2 linked regions of the Struthio camelus genome follow. The protein of the gene in region 1 interacts with the protein of each later gene in a biochemical or structural test. Links are inferred from orthologs where the notes say so. Each region holds a gene or a part of one and is shown in the gene's direction. Other genes may lie near its edges.

Region 1 (9,401 bases):
GAACAAGCGCGCGGCCGACAAGCTCATCTGCGACCTGGATGAGAACAAGGACGGGCGCATCAGCTTCGAGGAGTACTGGACCTTGATCGGCGGCATCGCCAGCCCCATCGCCCACATCATCCGCCAGCAGGAGCAGAGCGTCAAGCACACCAAGTAGCCGGCCGCCCCCCACCCCGCCAGCCCCCCGCGGCTCCTCGCCTCCTCCGCCAGCCCCCCGGGGGGACGCCGGGCGCGGGCAAGAAGGGGCCGGTTGCTCCCCGCTCCCGGGCCGTGCCCCGGGCGAGCGGAGCCAGCAGGCGGGAGCCCCCTTCTTGCCCCCCCGCCCTTGCCGGCCTCGACCTCGCGGGGGCACCAAGCGGAAGGGAAGTCTTGCCTCATCGAGGACACGAGTGCTGTCCGTTCTCAGACCTCCGCCCTGGCTCTGGGGCACGGCCCCGCTGGCAGAAACCCCGCGGCTGCAGCGACCCCCTCTCCCCTCGGTTGGGGGGGGGTTTGTCTCCTTCCCCCCTCCCACATGCCAGGACTTCTTGGAAAAACGGTGTCTTTCCCTCCGGCCCAAGCTGGTGAAGGCTCTGGCCCCGCCGCGCCGCCTGGCCCTGGGGGCGGCGGGCGAGACCTGCCTGCTTATTTATTGCAGCAATAAAGTGTGGAGGAGCAGCGGGTCGGGCCGAGGCTCTGCCTTCGCGTGGGGTCTGGGGGGGGTCCGGGGGGGTCGTGCCCGCTCCTCCCCAAACCTGCCGCCGCGGGCCGGCAGGAGCCGCTGCAGCAGCTCGGCAGCAGCACAGCCCCGGGGGGGGGGGTTGCTTCACCCCCCTCCGGCCCCCCCGGGGCTCGGGCTTCCCGGGGGCGCATCCGCGGGGGCCGGGCTGGCGGCGCGTCCCGTCCCGTCCCGTCTGTCCCCTCCGTCCTGTCCCATCCCATCCCGTCCGTCCCGTCTATCCTGTCCCATCTATCCCGTCCCCCCTGTCCTGTCCCGTCCCGTCCCGTCCCGTCCCGTCCCGTCTGTCCCCTCCGTCCTGTCCCGTCCTGTCCGTCCCGTCCCGCCCCGTCCGTCCCATCTCCCCCGTCCCGCCCCGTCCCGCCCCCGGCGCTGGCTCGTTGCCCGACTCTCGGCCCCGGCGCCGCCCGGGGATTTTCCACTGGGAGGAGACTTGGCTCCGGGTGGGGGCGGTGGAAGGCGGGGGGGGGGGGGATGCCAGCGCCTCGGGGCCGGCCCCATCCTCCTCCTCCTCCTCCCGCTCCTCCGCGGCCCCGCAGCCGCCGCCACGCGCGAGCGCGGGTCCCACGCGAGTCCGGCAGCAGGAGCGCGCTCGGCCCCGGCCGCCGGCGCGGGCACCCAGGGGCGCAGCGGCGGCAGGGGAGAGCAGGGGGGGATGCGCCGCGCTGGGGACCGGGCGCCTGGCCCGCCGGCCCAGACCCGCTAGAGAAGTCCCGTCCCCGGCACGCTCCCCCCGTCGGACCCAGGCGTCCGGGCCAGCGCTGGGGGCCGCTTCCCGCGCCCGTTTCGCTCAAGGCCGGGCCCGTCGTTTCCCGCTCCGGGTGCCCGAACGGGCGCTGGGCGCACGCCCGCGCGCGGGGGACCCTTTGCACGGTGCCACGTGGCGGGCGGGAGAGGAACGGCGCAGGGTGCGGATGGGGCCGCCCGGCTCTGCAGCTGCTCCCAATTTCGGGAGCTCCAGCCCTCCATCCCGTCCCCGGCACCACCGCCCCCGGGCGCCCGGCGCCAGCTGCTCACCGCGCCGCGGCGTTGCAGCAGCCGCGAGGCCCCACGCGGCCCCCGACGCTCCCTGGTGCTGTCACCCCCGTGGCGGGCGCCCGGACCCCCGGACCCGGCTGCTTTACCCCGCGACGAGGGCAAACGTTTGGGGCTCGCGCCCCCTCCTTGGGAAACGAGGGCTGGGCGGGTGCAGGCGGATCCAGGACTCTGGCGTCGCCAGGACCTCCCGGCCCCTGGCACTGGGAGGAAGGGTCTGTCCCCGCACAGCCTGGCGCATCTGGGGTCGGGGGACGCCACGCGGCAGCCCCCGGCAAAACGCTGCGCTCGCCTCGCCGCCCCCCTTGCAGCGGGGTCCGCGCGCCCCGTCTCGGCGGGACTGCAGCTGCCGGTGGGGGGCTGACCCAAACGCCACCGCCGCCCGCTAACCGCATCACACGGCCCGATGGGCAAAAACCAGGCGTGGGCGAAACCGCCGGCGCGGAGGCGCTGGGAAAGCCCGGGGGCTGCGCGGGGCAGCGCCGCCCCGGCCCGGGTATAAAGGTCGGTGCACGGCGGCAGCGACACCCCGGCTCCTTGCAGACCCCCGCCAGCGGCACTGACCCCGGTGAGTCGTCGACCCCCCCCCCCCCCCCCGCCGCGGTTTGCACCCCTGCGGCGATTGCACCCAGCCGGGCCCCGAAACGCCTCTCCGGCACCGCCGACCCCTTTCGGGGGGTCTGAGCGCGGCGGCCCGGCTCTGCCCGCAGGAGCTGGCCATGGCGTGTTCCCTGGAGCAGGCGCTGACCGCCCTGGTCTGCACCTTCCACAAGTACTCCGGCAGGGAAGGCGACAAGTACAAGCTCAACAAGGCCGAGCTCAAGGAGCTGCTGAACAAGGAGCTGCCGGTCTTCGGGAGCGTAAGTGGCCCCGGGGCAGGGCGCTCCCCGGCTCGTCCTGGCGGGGTGCGAAGCGGGCCGGGGGGCTGCGCACGGCCCCCGCGCAGCGCCCTGAGCCCCCGGCCCGGCCACGCACCGGCCGGGCGCCGGGAGGACCCGGGCTGGAGCAGGCTCCTCGCAGGCCCGCAAACGGCCGTAGAGATATTTTGATTGGCAAAACAGTTGCGTGCTGATTTCTGCTTTTTATCTCCCCTCCCCCCCCCGTTTTTTTTTTTTTCTTTTTGCATTTCCTCTTCTGGTTTCCAGTTTAATTCGGGAGGGAGCCGAAATCTGGCAGATTTTTTTCATGGTCGAAAACCACACGTGCTATAGAGCCGTGCCCAGGAGCAGCCAGCGCACCCCGCCTGCGTGGCCACCGCCTTCCCAAGGGGGACGGGGGCGGCGCGGGGAGCCCAGCGCTCGAGCCCCTGTTTGCACCCTCCCGTGGGAGCAGCCGGCCGAGCCCCGAACCGGCCCGCGCCCCGACCCCTCTCCTCCCTCGCAGGGGCAGATGGACGAAGGGGAGTTCAGGAGGATCATGAACGACCTGGACCACAACAAGGACAGCGAGGTGGACTTCCAGGAGTTCGCCTGCTTCATGGCCTGCATCGCCATGGGCTTCAACGAGTTCTTCAAGGATTGCCCTTCCAAGCAGCGCCGCCAGAAGTGAGCCCCGGCGCCCACCGCCCCGCGGCCCCCGGCACGGCATCGCCGCCGCCGTGCGTTCAATAAAAGCCTTTGCAAAGCCTCCGCGCGCGTCCGCAGGGGGTTTCTCGGCGGGGGCCGAGCGCGGGGTCGCTGGCGCGGAGGCGGCGCCCGCCGCTCCCTCCCGCCGGCTCGTCCCTCCCTGGGATTTTCCATGGCGCAGCTCGGCCCCGGGAGCCGGCGCACGCTTTTGGGAAAATTGGAGCAGAGCTGCTCGGAGCCGTTTCTGGGCAACGCACGCAGCCCAGCTAAACATCCCACCAGCACCAGCCCTGCGGGCGCCGCTTCACGTTTAACTCGAACCACATGAGCTTCCCCGCGCCCGGCTCGGCTCGCAGGCTAGCGCGGCCAACACGAGCGCGGGGAGCGGAGCAACACGCAGGGTCCAGGCGGGGCCTGAAGGCTGCAGCCGGCCCCCGGCAGGGAAAAGCTGCGGCTGGAGGAGACCCTTCCCCGCAGCCCCCCGGACGCGGATGAGCCCATGCCGGGGTGCTGCCGCGCGGGAGCCAGACCCGCGCTCGCCCCGGCCTCCCCCAGCCACCGCCGGGCTGCGGGCGACGGCAGTTTCCGGGCACCTCGCCCTGCGATACCGGCTGGGCAGGATGTGGCTCACCCTGCCGCAGCCTCGTCGGCTCCCTGCAGGTCCAGGCTGGCTCGCAGGGAGCGTCGCTGCTGCTGCTGCTCCTCCTCCTCCTCTCCAGCCGTGCCCAGCAGCCCCAAACCCCGGAGGAGCAGCCCTGGGGCTGGAAACGCCCTTGCAAAGCTTCTGCTCCAACGCACGGCCAAGCCGAGCGCCCTGCAAAGCATCTCCCCACACCCCCAGCAGCTCCTTCCCCAGCCCCACCAGCAGCTCCCAGCTCTTCCCTCCTCTGTCCTGCTCTTCTTAAAGGCAGCCGGGCCCCAGGCAGCCTCTCCCCCCGCCCCAGGAATTTGCACCGGCTTGCACCCGTTTCTTAACGGGGAGATGAGGGCCAGGCTTGGGGGTTCGTTTGGCCAAAAGGCTCCTTCCAGCATCCCCTCCCTGGGGGATGCTCCTGGTGGTGCCGGTCCTGGCCCCCGGCCGCGCTCCCCGGCGAAGGGCAGGGAACCCCCCGGCGGAGCTGGGGTGCCCGCAGCACCCAGCGCTGCTCCGGGAGCAGGGGAGGCCCCGGGGACCCGGCCCGCCGCTGCCTTCCCAGCGGAAACCCCTCCTGCGCCCGCCTCTCTTTTTTTCCTGTTTTTTTTTTTTCTTTTTTTTCCCCCTTGTTTTTCTGGCCCGGGTCCCCGCGGCGGCGGGCGCCCCTCTGCCGAGCGGGGGGCCTCGCGGGGAGGCGGCCAGGGCTGCGGGCCGTCCCGCGCGGCTCCCTGGCACGCGCCGAGGCCACCCGAGCGGCGCTCCGTCGTGCAAGGCGGCCGCGGGAATCCCAGCTCGCCTGCGAGCGGCTTGCGTTACAAGCAGAGGGAGGGAAGCAAAAAAACAACAAGCAAACAAACAAACAAAAAAGCAGCAAACCCCAACAGCAGCGAAGCCACCAGCGAAGGCCGGCGGGGGCCGGAGCGGGGGCCGCCCGCGCGCCTGCTCCCGCCAGCCCGCTCAGCCCCTCCGCTCGGGCGGCGATTGCCGTGGTTAAGCTCGCTGAGCCCAAGGAGGGGTAAAAGCTCGTCCGCCACCCGCCGCCGAGGGGTCGGCTTTGGCCAAGAGGCCGCTCGTGCCCCGGGGTCCCTCCTTGGCCAGGGGTCTCCCAGCCCCCAAATCTTGCTCTTTTCAACCCACAGCAGCCCCGAGGCCGGCTGGGGAGGGCAGGACCAGCCGGGAGGGCTGCGCCGGGGCGGCCGCCGCTGCTCTCGGGGGTTCCTCTCTTCTCCTGCCAGCCAATGTCTGGACGGACGCTGGAGCAGCATTGGTCCCTCTCCATCCCCATAGCGCGGGGGCGTCCCCGGCGGGGCTATAAATGCTGCGGCATCGTGCCGGCTCCGCTCCCACCCTGCGGTTTGAGCTGTTGGTGAGTTGTTTTTTCCTATGACGTCCTGGCGTCCTCCTCCCCGCCGTTCCTCTGGACGCTGCTGCTGCTGCTGCTGCTGCTGCTGCTGCTGCGCCTGGGCCGGCGGCTGGCAGCGCTCGGGGCTCGGCGGCCCGGGGGGGGCAGCTGGCTCCCCGCTGCTTCCCCCCTCTGCCTGGCTTCTCTTGGCGGCGTCCTGCCCCAAACGGAGCGGCCGGCGGGTGCATCTGGGGAGGAAACGGTGATGCATCCCCGTGCACGCCTGGGTGGTGGGTGCCTGCCCTGGAGCAGCCCCCGGGGAGGGGGACGGGACACCGCAGCCCCCGTTTGCAGGGCTTCCCGGCTCCGGCTCACCCGCTCCGGCTCTCTGTGCCCGCAGACTGGCCGGTGTCCCCATGGCGTGGCCGCTGGAGCAGGCGCTGGCCGTGATGGTCTCCACCTTCCACAAGTACTCGGGGAAGGAAGGGGACAAGTACAAGCTGAACAAGCAAGAGCTCAAGGAGCTGCTCACCAAGGAGCTGCCGAGCTTCATCAGCGTAAGCGTGGGGCGGTGGCCCGTGGTGGCCCGCGGTGGCCCGTGGTGGCCTGGGGGGCTGGCGCCATGCAGGGCTCCCCCCTGCCGGGGCGTTCGGCCCGCCGTGCAAACCGCCCGCTTGTCCCCATCTCTCCCCTCGGCAGAAACAAACGGATGAGGCCGGCTTCCAGAAGCTCATGAGCAACCTGGACAGCAACAAGGACAGCGAGGTGGATTTCCAGGAGTACGCGACCTTCCTGGCCTGCGTGGCCATGATGTGCAACGACTTCTTCCAGGGCTGCCCGGACAAGATGCCGCGGAGGAAGTGAGCCGGGCGGCGGGCCGGGGCCGCGGTCGCCCCCGTCACCCCTGCACCACCGTAGGAGGAATTTAAAGAATTCCTCCTATTCTTTAAATAAAGGCTGCTTTCAACGAAGCCCTCTGCGAGCGGGTTTTTTGCCGGGGGGACGTGGGCTGGGATCCCACCGCGCCGGGCAAGGCCCTGTCCACCTGCAGTTTGCGGAGGCAGGTGGTGCCGGACGGCGCCGCTTCGGAGCCGGAGCGTGGGCACCCCGCTCGCCCCGCGTGCCGGCGGGGGTCAGCGGCAGACCCCGCCGGCCGCCCTCGGGCATCGCCCGCATCCGCTCCCTTTCCCACCCTGCGGCTGCGCAGGGCTCGGCGGGGACTTTGCCCCGGGATGGATGCCTCCCGACGGGCTGGGAACGGGGATAACGGGGACGGGGAGCAGCTCTTCCGGCCCGCATCCCCGGTGACTCGGCTGGCCCGGGCCCGAGGGGGCGGGCGGGGGGGCCGCGACGTGCCCCCCCCCCCCCCGGCTCTCGGTGCGCAGGGGAGGGGCTGCCCCGGCCCCCGCCGCCCTGGGAGGAGCCGGCGCCCGGCTATAAAAGCGGGGAGGAGGCGGCGCCGCCGCTGCTCTTCCTGCCGTCCCGCCGCCGTCGGTGAGTGTCCCCTGCCCCTGCCCCTGCCGCCGCGCGGGGGAGGGGGGGCGCCGCGCGTGGGAGGCCGCGGCGTGGGTCGCGCGTGGGCCGCCCCCGCTGAGCGCCCGGCCGGCCCCCGCAGCCGCCAGCCATGGCCGCCCCCCTGGACCAGGCCATCGGGCTCCTCGTGGCCATTTTCCACAAGTACTCGGGCAAGGAGGGCGACAAGACCACGCTGAGCAAGGGCGAGCTCAAGGAGCTCATCCAGAAGGAGCTGACCATCGGGCCGGTGAGTGGTGGCGGGGCGCCGCCGGGGGCCCCCCGGCTCCTGCCCGACGGGGCCCCCCGAGACGGAGCGGCAAAACCGGCGTGGGCAGGGGACGGCCGTGCCAAGAGGTGCCCCGTCACCTGGGGCACCCGGCGCTTGGCGAGGCGGCCGAGGAGCCGGGGGTCCCGTCGAGGGGTCCCGCGGCATCTCCCGGCCCCGCAGCCCGCCTGCCTGCGGCCCCGGCTCCGGCGCCTGGCAGCGATGCCCGAGCCCCCGGCCCGCGCCCCCGGGGCGGCCGGCCTTCGGGGCGGCCCCCTCCCCATCCGCTGACGGCTCCCTGCTCTGCTCCGCGCCGCAGAAGCTGCAGGAGGCCGAGGTCGCCGGGCTCATGGAGGACCTGGACCGCAACAAGGACCAGGAAGTGAATTTCCAGGAGTACGTCACCTTCCTGGGAGCCCTGGCCATGATCTACAACGAGGCGCTGCTGCAGTACAAGCAGTAGAGCCGGGCCCCCCGGGGCTCCCCCCGCCTCCGGCGCCCAATAAAATTCCTTTTTGTAAAGTTCTGCTATGAGTTTGGTGTCGTTTTGGAGTCTTTAATAAAAAAAAAAAAAACATGAGATTTTAAGTTTTTTTTTTTTTTCCCCGTCCCCTCTGGGTGGTGTTGCCCGCAGGGAGGCCCTGGGCGGGGGGACGAGGGCAGCCGGAGAGCCCGGGAGGAGGGGGCAGCTCGGGGGAGGGGGCACGGGGTGGGCAGAGCTGCAGCCGGGGCTCGTGTCCCGCAGGGCCGGACCCGTCCGCGGGCTGGCGGTGCCCTGCCCGTTCCCCGGGGCAGGATGCCGTTCCCAATTTGGGTGGGGTGGGGAGGACATCGCTCTCTGGAGAGAGGTCCCGAGCATGAGCGCAGGGTGTCAGAGGGCCGGGGCGGTTGGTGGAGGGCTCGGGGTGGATTTGCAGCTAGAAAATCGGGAATAATGTGGATTTTTCCCAGCCGGGAAAACAGCTCTTTGCGTGTCCTCTCTGCTCAAACGCAGGGTGCAGAGGCTGCTTCGGAAACGCGTGGGGTCACCCCAGCGTCCCCACTGGCATCAGGAAGCAAAAACCTCTCCAGCCTCCCCCAGGCTCAGGGAGCCCCCCCGACTACCCCCCTGCAGCCCCCCTGCATCCTGCATGAGGGGGATCCCCCCCCCCCCGATGCCTTTTACATCCTGGCTCTTTTTGTGCCTGATCTGGGATTTTGGCACACCAGAGGCTGGCATGACTGCAGGGCGATAGTGCCTCTTCCATGGGTATCCCAGCCTGCCTGTACGGATCTGCCCCCTGCCTTGTCCTCGGGGCTGCGCCGGTGCAAACACCAGCACCCCGTGCAAACTCCAGCACTGCATGAAAATGCCAGCACCCCGTGCAAACACCAGCACCCCGTGCAAATGCCAGCGCCCCGTGCAAACGCCAGTGCCCCGTGCAAATGGCAGCGCCCCATGAAAATGCCAGTGCCCCGTGCAAACACCAGCACCTCGTGCAAACGCCAGCACCCCGTGTAAATGCCAGCGCCCCATGGAAACGCCAGCGCCCTGTGCAAACACCAACGCCCCATGCAAATGCCAGCACCCCGCGGCGGCTCGTGCCCCGAGGCCAGAGCAGCAGCTGGGGTTGCCGCGGCCGGGAGCAGGACCTGTGCCAGGAGCTCCCGGCGCGCCCAGGCGCGTTGCGTGCGCGGCGCGTCCAACGGCAGGTGGCAGCACGGTGACCGGTGGCGCCCGCGTGTCCCTTCACACCTCCGAAGCTGGCACACGCACGTCCCGCATGTACCGCCCGGCTCCTTCCCACCCCTTCCAGGACGAGGCTTCCCGGCGTCCCGCTGAGGACGGGGCAGGCGCCACGGCGGAGGTGACAGAGCCTGCAACGTCACAGCAAAATGCACACAGTACCGCCAGGGATGGAGCGCTTGCCTCCGAGGGGCTTGCAGGGCTCGAGCATGCGGGCGGCACAGCCTTGGCATGAGCCCCCCCCCCTTCCCAAATTCAGCACCCGCGATCCTGTTGGGGTGGCGGGAGCCGGAGGCCGGGAGCCCCGCGGCGCCTCGGGCGAGCCGTGCCGGCCCCGGCGCCGGGGAACGTGGCGGGAGCTGGAAGCAGCTGCCCGTGCCCTCGGTTTTCAGCAGATAGCAGCAGCCGATGCTGGGAAACGACGCTCTGAAGCGCGCCCGGCCGATTCCCGGCACGCAGACCTGTCTGGATTTGTAGCATCTTTCTTGGCTCCGCAGCGGAGCTGTTGAGAAACCGTTTCTGTGGGGTGCGGGTTTGTGACTTGGGGGAGCCGAGCAGCAGGACGGGACCCGTCACCCCGCCGGCACCCAGACCGCGGGCC
Region 2 (11,707 bases), on another chromosome or scaffold:
TATTCCATATTTTTCATTTTTACATAGCATACCCAAATAGCATGCTCTTGAGTAAAGTCACCCCAATAAGAGGAACAGAGGAATGCTGACACATTCTGCTGTGGTGTGCTTTTACACCACCACCACGGAAGTTTTGAATGATCACATGCGGGTTTGGAAACAACAGGAAATTTCTGAGGAACAAAGAACCCAAAGGAATGAATCACAAATATCCCACACAAGACTGTTCAGATACTTTCTCAGTACTGTAGTAAAACAGAAAACAGATTCCAGCACCTGTTTCTCTGTTGAGGCATGACTCATAAATACTGAGTGCGATTATTAATTACTATTGTATAGTTTTGAACTATGAGGGATATGTCAAAACCATCCTCCATTAATGCACTTGTGACATATGTGGGCAGATCTGCTTCCACAAGCAAAACAACATTTGTTTTTGACAAATTAACTACAGTTCTTATCATAAAGTCTTTTTTCAAAGTTACATTATTATTCACAGGTGAGATTTTTCAGTTATGTTTACACATTTACACAGTAAGGAGGAAGATAAAGCAAAACTAATCTCTTTGCCCACCTTTCTATGGAAACAGGCCAAGGTTGAATGGAACAAGGGATCCATATGGTTTAGTGTTGTCTCTGACAATGTCTGAGAGGTACCAGAAGTTTCAGAATATCTTTGTCAAAGAGTTAAAAATAGTGAAGTTCTCCAGAGCTGTGCAGTCATCACTCCTCCTCTTGTTGCTGAGGGCATCACCGCTCCATCTGGCACTGAAGTCTTTGCTGCTGCCCGTGAGGAGTCAGTGGACACGAGCACCGAATTATTCTTACTGCCTCAGAAGTTATCGTTGCAGGCTAAGGATGAAGAGTGGGCTGTACCACATGTACAATATAGCTTGCAAGATTTTTTGCTTCGTTGTTATACCTGTTCTGAGGAGCAATAGGGATTTACACTCTGAGGCTGCCGAATTCACACGTCTCTTCACTTTGCGAAAAATAAACCCAGAGATAAGTTTCCCATTACGGTTGTTTGAAAGAGAGATCCAAAGCTGGCATGAAATCATGTAGCCTATTAAGTTATTAAGACAATTAAGTCAGGACTTTTATGTCATGATATCATTACAAAATAGTGCATGTTAACAGAAACTATTACAGAGCTAATATTTTGATGAAAATGAGAAGAGAACGGAGAGCTACTTTGAATCTATCTCCTTAAGACTTTCAATTTAATATTTATTTATATACTGGTAGCAAGGAGAAAATCGTTAACAAATCAAAAAATTTAAATCAAACATTATATCAGATCCAAATGCTGACAACTATAATGAGGAGGAAAGACAAGTTATACTTTTACTGTTTTCGGCCTTTTTTGTGTTAAGACATAAGACGACTATTACTCAGTAATGTGAACAACTGTTGTGGCAACCTGTTTAAAAGACAAAAAAACATCAGACAGTTTTCTCAAATAATCATTTACGAGATAAAAATTGTCCATCTTTCATCAATAGTTGGCAATTACTCAGAAAGGCTATCTCAATACATCTGAGAACATCATGGAATGTTAACAAGCATGTAGAAATATCCAGGTTTATGAACTGGTGCCAAGACTTCATTTCATACCTGCTGCCTGAAATGTAATATTTCTACTAGGTTCTGACACTTGAATGTAGTAAGAGAGAAATTTGGGGGCTTTAGTCTGTGTGAGCAGTACTGTATGCCACTGGTAGCCCCCACCGACTTCATAAGAGACTATTCATTATCATTAAGGCAGAAAGAATTTACAGCACAAGTAAGAAATTAAGTAGACTGAATGATAATCATAAATATTTACATAGAAGCTATGAAAGCTATTGGGACTTTTGACTGTTCCTAAAGTCTATATCCTCACTGTGATATAAGATCTACCTTAACTGCTCACCCGATTAATAGACTGGCAGTCCAATTTCCAGCTCAGTATCTGACAAATATTTGTATCCCACACTATGGGGCCCTTGCTCCACAGTTATACGCACTAATCCTAGGACACAAGCACACACTAACAAGCTTAGAATATCTTCAACTGCTCTTCTGAATTGGGATAAAATTAAGAAGTAGCGAAGTGCTCTCCTGAACTAGAGCCTTAATCACCAACTGATTTAAACTGCATTTTTAGTACTCTATATAATATTCCTAAGAACAAGTTGGACTCCAAAATTTGAGAATCATTGTAATGAAAAATAACTGACCTCATTTGGGTAATTTCTCATTGTAAATAGCATGGTCTGTTATGTCTGTATTGACTTTTCTCTCCTGTTCACTGTTTATTAACACTCATGATGACATGATTATATTTGGTGGAAAATTGAGGGAGAGAATGCCAAAACAGTGGAAAAGTTTCATTTCCATTTTTCCTGAAAATATCATTTTCCTCAAAAATTTCTGAACAAACGTAACTGTATCTGAGATTTTAAAACTCTGTTTATCTGCTGAAATGTGTTGCCTGAAGAAAATAAAACAAAAATGAAGTTGGCATGGTTCAATTTCTTTAAGGATTTTATTATCAAGCACTTCAATCTGAGATTTTAAAACTCTGTTTTTCTAGAAACCAGCAGTGTACATTTAGATTAGGATTTAAGAGTCCAGAATCTTTCTTATTTTGTTCCCCTAACACAATGATTTTTGTTTTGATTATTCCCATTGCACAAATAGAACTCACAAATCTAGCTAGATTTTATTCAGTTTTTGTGTGTTAATGACAATCATCTGCAAAACTCTGATCAGATTCTAGGATGTACATATATTACTGTGTCCTAACTTTCAGTCAATAGAATTGGTCAATGCATGTTTTTTGAAGGCCTGGATTGGATTTATATTGTGTAAAGAGCTTGTAGCAACGCTGCCATTGCATTTTTTTTTGAATGATGCAGTGTCAATTTTATAGCATCTTTGCAAAGCTATATTGGTTTTCCCATGAAAAATACATCTTCTTCTTACTCTGGTAGAATGTTCTTCACATTTACAGTTCTGCAGAAACAATAAAAATAATGTTGGTCTGTCTCTTGTGATGCAGTTAGATGATGTCAGTAAAGGTAGACTTGGGAATTAGATATATTTTAAATGATAACGTTTTCTTTAGAATGGGACACGAGGCAGTTTGAGACTGTTCATTGTCGGCTGGGTAGGAAATTGGACTATTAGCATGCTTCGCTGCCCTCTAGGTGATGAATATTTAGCTAAATAATTTTCTGGTATTTGGCAGTGCTCAAAAGGGGTATATGGAGATTGGATTTGAAATAGTCTAGATACACTGGAGAGCAGGAAGCCAGTGTTATTGCAATGAATTTTACAAACCACAATTCTTTTCGCTGATGAATCATCTTCTAAGTCTACTGAATCTGTCTTTTTGCTTTGCAATCCCTATCAAATATTTTGTCAAGTGGATTTTGTAAGGACAGTCAAACATAATGTCAATACCTATGTCATATTCATATTCTGAAAGCTGGTGTTTTCTGAAACATTTACTTGGAGAGAAAGATTTATATCTGACAAACGTATAGTACACAGCATAGACCTGAAGCCAGATTCCACACTACGGTTTGCCAGCTTAAACAAACAGTTTCTTGTAATTTGGGACAAGGTATATTTGTGGAAATAATTTGCCATAAAATATAAAAGTCTAAATTTAAAGTATTGTTTTTGAAATTGATAATCTAGAATAGTAATCACTATTAATCACTATCAATAGTAATCACTAACAGTGATTTGCCTATAAACCTCCATTTTTTGACATACTATCTAGCAATGTTCATTACTAAATAAATCGTATAATTGCATTTAATTGGAAAATAGCTCTTTATTTCTGCATCTGTGTGATAATAATATGTCTTCCTTTATTTTGCTATACGAGTTACTGGGACAAGCCCTTTATGGAAAACACCAATGAGCAATTATACCTGTGAAACACACATTTTCTCTTTACATATAATATATTGGGGCAATACAAGTACTTTAGTTCCATGACATTTGTTGGGCATGCAGTATCTATATGTGATGGTATCACAAGTGATTTCCAATAACATTTACACCATAAATGCTGCCGTTTTATGTATGTTCCTCACATCTCACAAAAACTATTTAATGAGTATTAGAAGAATGTTGTAAACCTTTATTTAATCTTATAATTTATGACCCTGCCTTTAAATACATGTCATTAAATTATTATAAGTCCCAGTGTGTGTTTCTAAGAGGAAAGTATACAAATCTGTAAAGAGGATTCTGGATAAAATTGGAGCTGGAAATCCAGAGAACAGTTGTAAATGGTATGCTCAGTGAACTAAAGAATGAAGGGAAAAAGGGGATAAGGTAGCAGTTGAAGGTATGAACGCATCTTTTTGAGATAGGAAAGACAGTCAGTTTTGGTTCTAAGGCAAAGAGGAGGAGACAATTAGAGTTTAAGAGGAAACAAGAAAACCTGAGAGCACATGAGGGAAATCAGAAGAGGAAGAATCATTGGGGCAAACAGAATAGGAGGAGACAGGGAAAGAAATGTCTCCATTTCCACTGAAGAGAAAAGGCTGAAGAAGAAAAAAGGAAGGTAAAACCTAGGAAAAAATATTTGATTTATTAAAAAGTGTTTTTAAAAGGAAAAAAGGAAGGGAAAGTCGGGGACTGTAAGCAAGCCTTCTTCCCTGCTCTTCAGCTTTCCCCTGTGAGTTTGAGGGCAGGGAAGGGGAAGAATTTTCATCAAGAAATTGCCAAATCAGTGGTGGAGGAAAAGGCAGTGGATGGTCTGAGTGACTGAGTCTGAAGAAATTGGGGAGTGTTGGAGATGTGATACGAAACACTACCCTCACACATCCATTCCTACCTGGCAGGGAAGATAGCCCTCCAGAGCATCAGGTTTTACTTTTGACTTGCTGGAACTGAAACAGGTGCTGTTGTGGCCCCATCTCCAGAAGCATGGTGGTACCAAAGGAGTCCCCACTCATACCACCCTCGCTGTGGTAACATGAGAGTGGATTCGGTTAAGGTACAGCAGAGTGATTTTGCTAGCTAGATATCAGAAATAAAGGCCAAGCAGTGAGACGTGTGGGGAAGCAGATTGATGTGCGATATGGAGAAAGCCCAAATGCTTGTATCAGAAAAAAGGGGTCAGTAAAGAAACATTGGAGACAGTATTTGTTGCTGAAGAACAAATTGAGAAAACATTCCTTTTGTGCCTGATCTAAACCACAGTTGATAAAACGAATAAATACTATCAGATAAACATATAGCTAAAAAGCTGGCTTGTCATCAAAGTAGCTGTAGTTCAAAGCTTTAGAGTTTTAAAAGATTAGGAGTACATTGTTCTTTAAGTTGATGAGAGTATATGTTTAATTTCATTTTACCCCACAGAAATCCCCAGTGCATATAGATGCATAGCTGTGTATACATGGTTAGCATTGCTAACATGGTTAGGATTGCTAACCATGTTATCCAGCCAAGTAAGTATTTTGCTAATTTTGATACCAACAACATAGTTACAATGTAGTTATACACTTTCCTATTGGTTCCTGTCCTTCCCTACTATTCACAGTTTCATATACCTTTAAACCGTTATCCTCATAATCATTTAGACCCGGACTGTCGCTCACACAAGCTGCAGAGCGGTAGGGTTTGGAGTGAAACCATGACACAGTAGTGTGGGAGGGAGAATAATCTCTGTGGGGTTCTAGTAACAACTTTCCAAAACTGCTGGAGGCATGCAAGTAAATTAACAGACCTTTGGGCCCAGTCCCTGCTGTGCCTGTCAGCTTGGAAGGGAAAGTAGTGTCTATCAACTGTAGAACCGGCACAGAATACATTCCCTCTGGATCACTGACAAAAATAGACCATTTGTGATTACTACAACAGGACCCCAATCTACTCCTATAGAGGTGCTTTTATAAGCTGGTCCATTTCAAAGCTTTTATGGCTGGTAGAAGAACATCACCCTTATTTTGCTGGTTATTTTCCAATCCCTATTCTTCCCTTCCCCTCCCTAGCCTAAAACTCATTTACCAGCTTAGACACTTAATTGTAGTGCCGATCCCTTCAATTGCTTAATATTCCCTCTATCAAGCTAGGCGTCAAGTTTCGGTGAACCAAAACCACCGTCATCATGTCTTTTGGCAGACATACGAGTAAAGCCTTATACCCTGAGACAGCGTGGCTCTTTTGATCATAGTAACATTATAGGGCTTATATGATTATTGGAAATAACAGTTTAACTTTTAACCTATAAGCCTTGTTTTAATTGAACTTGATCACGAAAACTGAAACCTAGTTATTTACCATCTTGTTTCAAGCTTAACATTGAAGTTTATAGTCTATTTTGACTCCTAAATCAATAATGATATATTCTTACTGGTGAGTTAGATATTTCTCAAACCATACAAAGAGAGTGAAAGGTTGCCAATGTTTCCAAGATTGGGAATTTTAAAATGTAATGCTATATTCTTTGTGCAGCAACAGAAATGGGCTCAAACATCCAGCATGCCTCTAGAGGATGTAATAAAAACGGGACAGTACCAGTGACACCTGACTTACCAGGCTTGACTCATATTTAAGACCTCACCGATGAATTAGTGCCACCTACTGCATGCTTTTGAAAGTAGCATCAACCGCCAACAATACCCTTACTATATTCCTCTACGAGGAACGCTTGCATGCTTTGAATATTGCAGAACCACAGAATGGCCAAGGTTGGAAGGGACCTCTGGAGATCATCTAGTCCAACCCCCCCCTGCTCAAGCAGGGTCCTCTAGAGCACGTTGCACAGGATCGCGTCCAGGTGCGTTTTGAATATCTCCAGGGAAGGAGACGCCACAATATTCATGAATTACGAATTTTCTCGCTATATAATTGAATGCTCTTCAAGAAAAATCGTAGAAAGTTCAGAAGATAAGGTTCAGTATGAAAAAAAAAAAAAGCAAAAGATTTTCCCGGGGGCAACGTACAGTGCTGCAAATTAAGCACTGCATCCTAGAAAGCGTTGTATCATTTTTAAGAAATGATAGCGTTGGAGCCTCTTGTTCCTAAGACGCTGCCTGGCGCTTTTAACATAACATAGAGGTTATAAAATAAACACTGTTGACATATTTTAAATACTTTTCGGTCTCTGCTTTGCTTGTGCTGAATGGAGGGGATACGTCTACTTTCCGAGATCTCTCTCAGCCCAGAGAAAATTGCTCCTTCCCCCACCCCTCCCAGAGGACGGGAACAGCGTTTTCCTCTCTGCTGAAACACCTGAGAAGGGGCAGGAGAGGGGTTCTTCGCTCCTTAAAGCGGTTTCAGGTTCTTCGTCGTCGTCCCCCAACCCCTTTCTTTCGGCGCTGGAAAGAGCCGAGTGCGAGAGAAGACCGGCCCTAGGTGACCTCGCTTCCCCACACCCCCTCCCCGCGGCCGTTACAGCCCGCGCGGCCGTTGGGCGCGAGCGCGGCCCGGCGCGAGTCCCGCGCACGCTGCCAAGGTCTGCCCGGCCAGGGGAAAGCACCAAGCTGGAAAGGGGCCCAGGGAATGGTTACAGGGACCCAGCAAGTAGCGCGGCCACCAGCTCTGCCGCCGCGGTGACGTTGAAGACGAACAAAGGCGTAGCTCGGCCGTTAGCGCCCATCACCCGCTTTAAACCTCCCGCCCGCCAATCGCGGCGCCGGCAGTCGCGCTGCTGATTCGCCGCTACACTTTCCAGGCGCCGCGGTTTGGGGGGGGGGAGGGGGTGTTGGGTGGTCGCGGCCTCGTTGTGTCCCCTTTCGGGCCGCTACTGAGGACGGCCACCGGCCGGCTGCGCCCCGTTTCCTCGGGTCCGCTGCTGGGTTAGTGCCTCCCTCGGCCGCGGAGGCGAATCTGCCGGGCTCGTCCTACCGCTAGCGCAGTTTGGGCGGTTGTCAGGGAGAAACAAGATGGCGGCCGCAGCGGCGGAGGAGGACACAGAGCTGCGGGACCTGCTGGTGCAGACGCTGGAGAGCAGCGGGGTGCTCAATAAAATTAAGGTGGGGGAAGGAGAGCCTCGCGTTGGCGCGCGCACCTCGCGAAGCGCAGAGCGGGGAAGAGCCCTGGCTGGCGCCAGCGGCAGTTAACGACCGCGCACGGGGGGAGGGGCCGGGCCGGGGCTCCGTCCCCTCTCCCTGGCGCGTCTTAGCCGGTGTTCCCGGCCGGGCCCTGTGCCGGCGCCGTGGCCTGGCGGGGGCGTCTGCCGCTCCCCGGCTGCTCTGCCTAGGGCTCGGCGAGGAGCCGGGTCCAGCGCCTGTCTTGCGAAGTGGAGCTGGTACGTGCTCGCCGCGGGCCCGGGCGGGAGGCCTGACCGCGGCTTGACGTCTGCCTGGCGGCCGCAGCGTTAACGAAAGCGCCGAGGTGGGGAGAGGGAGGGCAGCCCGCGGCCGCCGCAGGGATCCCGGCGTCTTGAGTGGGCGCTTTCGGGCCCGCAGACACGCTGTGGTCGCAAGAGCTCTATTGTTGCTTCTCTCCTGCTGCTGCTAAAGCCGCTGCAAACGTTCAGCGGCCGGGTCGTGTTGGATGGTGTGGACAAGGTTTCTCTCTGATTCGACCGAAAAATCGCCATTGAAAATTTAAAGCAGGAATCGTTGAGGGTTGCTGCTTATACACGGCATCTTTTGAGTTCGGGTGAGCTTAAGCTGCGTCTTGAAGGCCTAATAAACAAGGGAAGTGCCGAGGGATGCTGCTAGCTGCACGGCACAAATACTGCTATGTTAAGAAGTTATGCGGAGGACAGTGTTTAGTGGGGTGTAAGGTTTTCTCCATTGTAATTGCTTCCATGTCTGTAATGTAGCCTGGGCTGACATCCTGTCAGCAAGGATATGAAAACTGGTTCTAAGGGTTCTTCTTCAAGTTAGAAGCTTCCAGCAATAACTATTGTGCATAGCAAAGAGCCATACAGTTATCACAGCATATGAGCTGTTGGACCATCTTCTAAGCCAGGAGAGAAATGAAGTTTGAGTTTCAAATCACAGATGGTGATATTTTTTCCCTGCAAAGTACTACAAGTATTTCCAGAGGTAGATGATCACTGACACTTCAGGATCAGTTTAATGACTGAAACAATTGATGGAATTAAGAGTATCTGTGTGTGTATACAAAGAAAATAAAAAGTCACTTCCTTTAAAGTCCATTGGATATTTGGCTTCCAATGGATTCCATAGTGTTCAATAACACGGTGTTACTGAAATTGTTGCTCCTGCAGTTTTGGAAGAGTAGTCCTTATTTAAATTTCATAAGTAGATGAAGATCCCAGTTCATGTAACTATGTTTTGAGTAGGGAAAGCTTTTTCTAGATAAGTATCAAATAGGCCTTTTGGACCACCCATTAACCTCTTGTGTCATATTAACTAAAAAAAATAGTGAAAATAATAGCAACAATTAAAAAAAACCACAAGTCCGTTAGGTCGTTTGGAGTATATAAACTGTAGTTTCTTAATTCCAGTCTTTGTGTAGTATACAAGTTATTGTACTGCACTTGCCAGTTTGCTGAGTTTCATGTAAATATGTTTATTGTAATCTTCGCTATGCTATAATGCTAAAGTTGTAGTATCCAGTATGGCTCAATTTATCCTTAACGCAAAATAGCAAACAACTTAGAAAAATGCAGACTGCATCCTATTTACCAGTATATTGCTCTTCTTAATACTGGGAGTTATTGCCTTGTAAGTGGTATGCTTATGGCTAAGGCCATGCATTCTGCAAATTAATAGGATTTCTTCTTAGTTGTAAATCTTAACTGCCACACTAGTTTGGCTATCTGTTGATTGTTAGTATGAGTAACTCATGGAATTTGTTTTGTTTGGCACTTGAAAATAGTCCTTTGTCTTCCAGAAGAGTCCAGAGTAAACTGGTCTCCTTAAAAGGTTGGCTTCTAATTTAAATTAGATTATACCATGCATAAAAAATGGACATCGTGCTTTCATTAAATTAAACATATTTGTGCTCAGTACTGTTTCCTTAACTATTGCAAATGTGTCAGTATATTTTATTATGTGGGAGAACTGTGAGAAAATGAACAATTGCTTTGCTACTATGTAAATTGTATACACCAAAATGAGCACTGCTCATCTTCCAAGATGGGTGAGGCTAGAAAGTAAATTATAGCGATGTGTCTGAGACTTGTTAGAATAGACACATTAGAAAACAAATTATATTGCTGAAAGTATGGCTTCATTGGTGTGAAGAAAACTCTGGTAAAACAAGTAAAGAAAGCTCTGGAAGGATTAGAATTAGAATGTACAAGGCTGTCAAAATTTACATATGGGAACATATAACAATTACTTTATCAGTCATTATAAAAGAAGAGAACTTTGGTGACACCTTTGTCCTTCAGTATACAACATGATTGTACAATGGGTTACAGTTTTAGGTTTTTTTTTTTGAGGTTAATTTCTTGGGCATATTGGTTTTGATGTAAATTGTTTAGCTGGAAAATAGTAATAATAAAAAATCTTAGTTACCTTGTAGACAAGTCCCAAACAGATTTTTAAACTGTCATACTTACCTTGGGCTTTGAGCACAGGAGAGTTTAATAAAGTAATACATTTACACAACTTCCAGTTTTCACAATGTTTGCCGCGTCTAGTTGAAACATTTCCTATTTTTAGAGTGCAGATCAGACTGCTTCCTTTTGAATATCATAAGAATGCTCATCTAAAATATAATTCTATATATTTGTACTTCATTGAAAACTTTTACTGATACTGCACGTGTGATGCATTCCGTACAATTACAGAAGACGTTCTCTCTTGAAGAGCATGTGAGCCTTCTCTGGCCTAGGGAAGCTGTCATCATCTGAACAAGAAGAGTGATTCTTCTTATTGTCTTCCTTTGTCGTCTTATTTTGTGTTTTGCTTTGTATCTTTTAATCTCTTTTCTCCTGGAAAAATAAGTTTATGCTACCTTAGTTTTATGGCATCGCTGGAACTTGCTGTTACTACAAATACGGGGGAAATCAAACATTACAAAAATTGTATGACTGATAATGCTTCTGGCCAGATGATACTGTTCTTGCTAATTTGATTCAAAATCTAAAAAGTTGAGGTACTTGCAAAAAACGTGTTGAGGGTAAGAGACAAGAGTTAAAATGAAATATTGTTTGTTTAAAATCATCTATTAACTGTATTTTTGTAGGTAAATTAAAATTGTTAGATTTATTTTCTCATGTCCCTTCCATGTATTATAATGCATAATGCTTTTAAATGTCTTTGAATTATTAACCATCATGATCAGTATACTGTATACTACAGTGTAATCTCTTGCGGTTTTGCAGCTGGTTTTTTAAAAGCAGTTTGTTTCCGAAAGCCAACTCATTTATTGGAATCAAGGGGGAAATTTAAATTTATACTTAACACTTCTTTCTATAATTTCTTATTTTTATAAATAACAACTTATATTGATTTCCGTTTAACGGAAATTCAACATTTAAATGTGAGTATGGTGGTCTTGCTGTTTTGGATGTATCCTACCTTTAAGAACATGAGTGAGAATTGCTTGCGAGATGCAAAGTAAGAGCATGATAAACTGCAGTAATAGCTGCAGGTATGTAGAACTTATGTATTTTAGATATTTACTACTTCTCCCTGATATGAATTTTCCTCTTTCTTTTCCCAGCGTTTTCTTTTCCATTATACAGCCTGACAGCTTAACTTATTGAGTCAATTAGGGCTGCTTAAACTAAGTTGAAGGATTTTGCCCTGAAGGGGACAAAGAATAG

What was found.
Region 2: the proteins of protein S100-A6 (region 1) and CEP43 form a complex in vitro, tested with the Homo sapiens proteins (2 studies listed by BioGRID and IntAct, with this or other methods). The link is inferred for Struthio camelus from reciprocal best matches to the Homo sapiens genes S100A6 and CEP43.

Annotation. Positions count from the first base shown.
Region 1 is NC_090971.1:4,725,093-4,734,493, forward strand, and holds protein S100-A6, read left to right. Parts: upstream 1-6,657; 5' UTR 6,658-6,788; intron 6,789-6,909; 5' UTR 6,910-6,918; coding exon 6,919-7,056; intron 7,057-7,393; coding exon 7,394-7,537; 3' UTR 7,538-7,608; downstream 7,609-9,401. Other genes in the region: S100A16 (protein S100-A16), read left to right, coding at 1-157; protein S100-A4-like, read left to right, coding at 2,473-2,613, 3,137-3,301; protein S100-A4-like, read left to right, coding at 5,336-5,556, 5,695-5,851, 5,994-6,158. UniProt on the Homo sapiens protein: May function as calcium sensor and modulator, contributing to cellular calcium signaling.
Region 2 is NC_090944.1:88,807,717-88,819,423, forward strand, and holds the start of CEP43 (centrosomal protein 43), read left to right. Parts: upstream 1-7,240; 5' UTR 7,241-7,895; coding exon 7,896-7,985; intron 7,986-11,707. UniProt on the Homo sapiens protein: Required for anchoring microtubules to the centrosomes. Required for ciliation.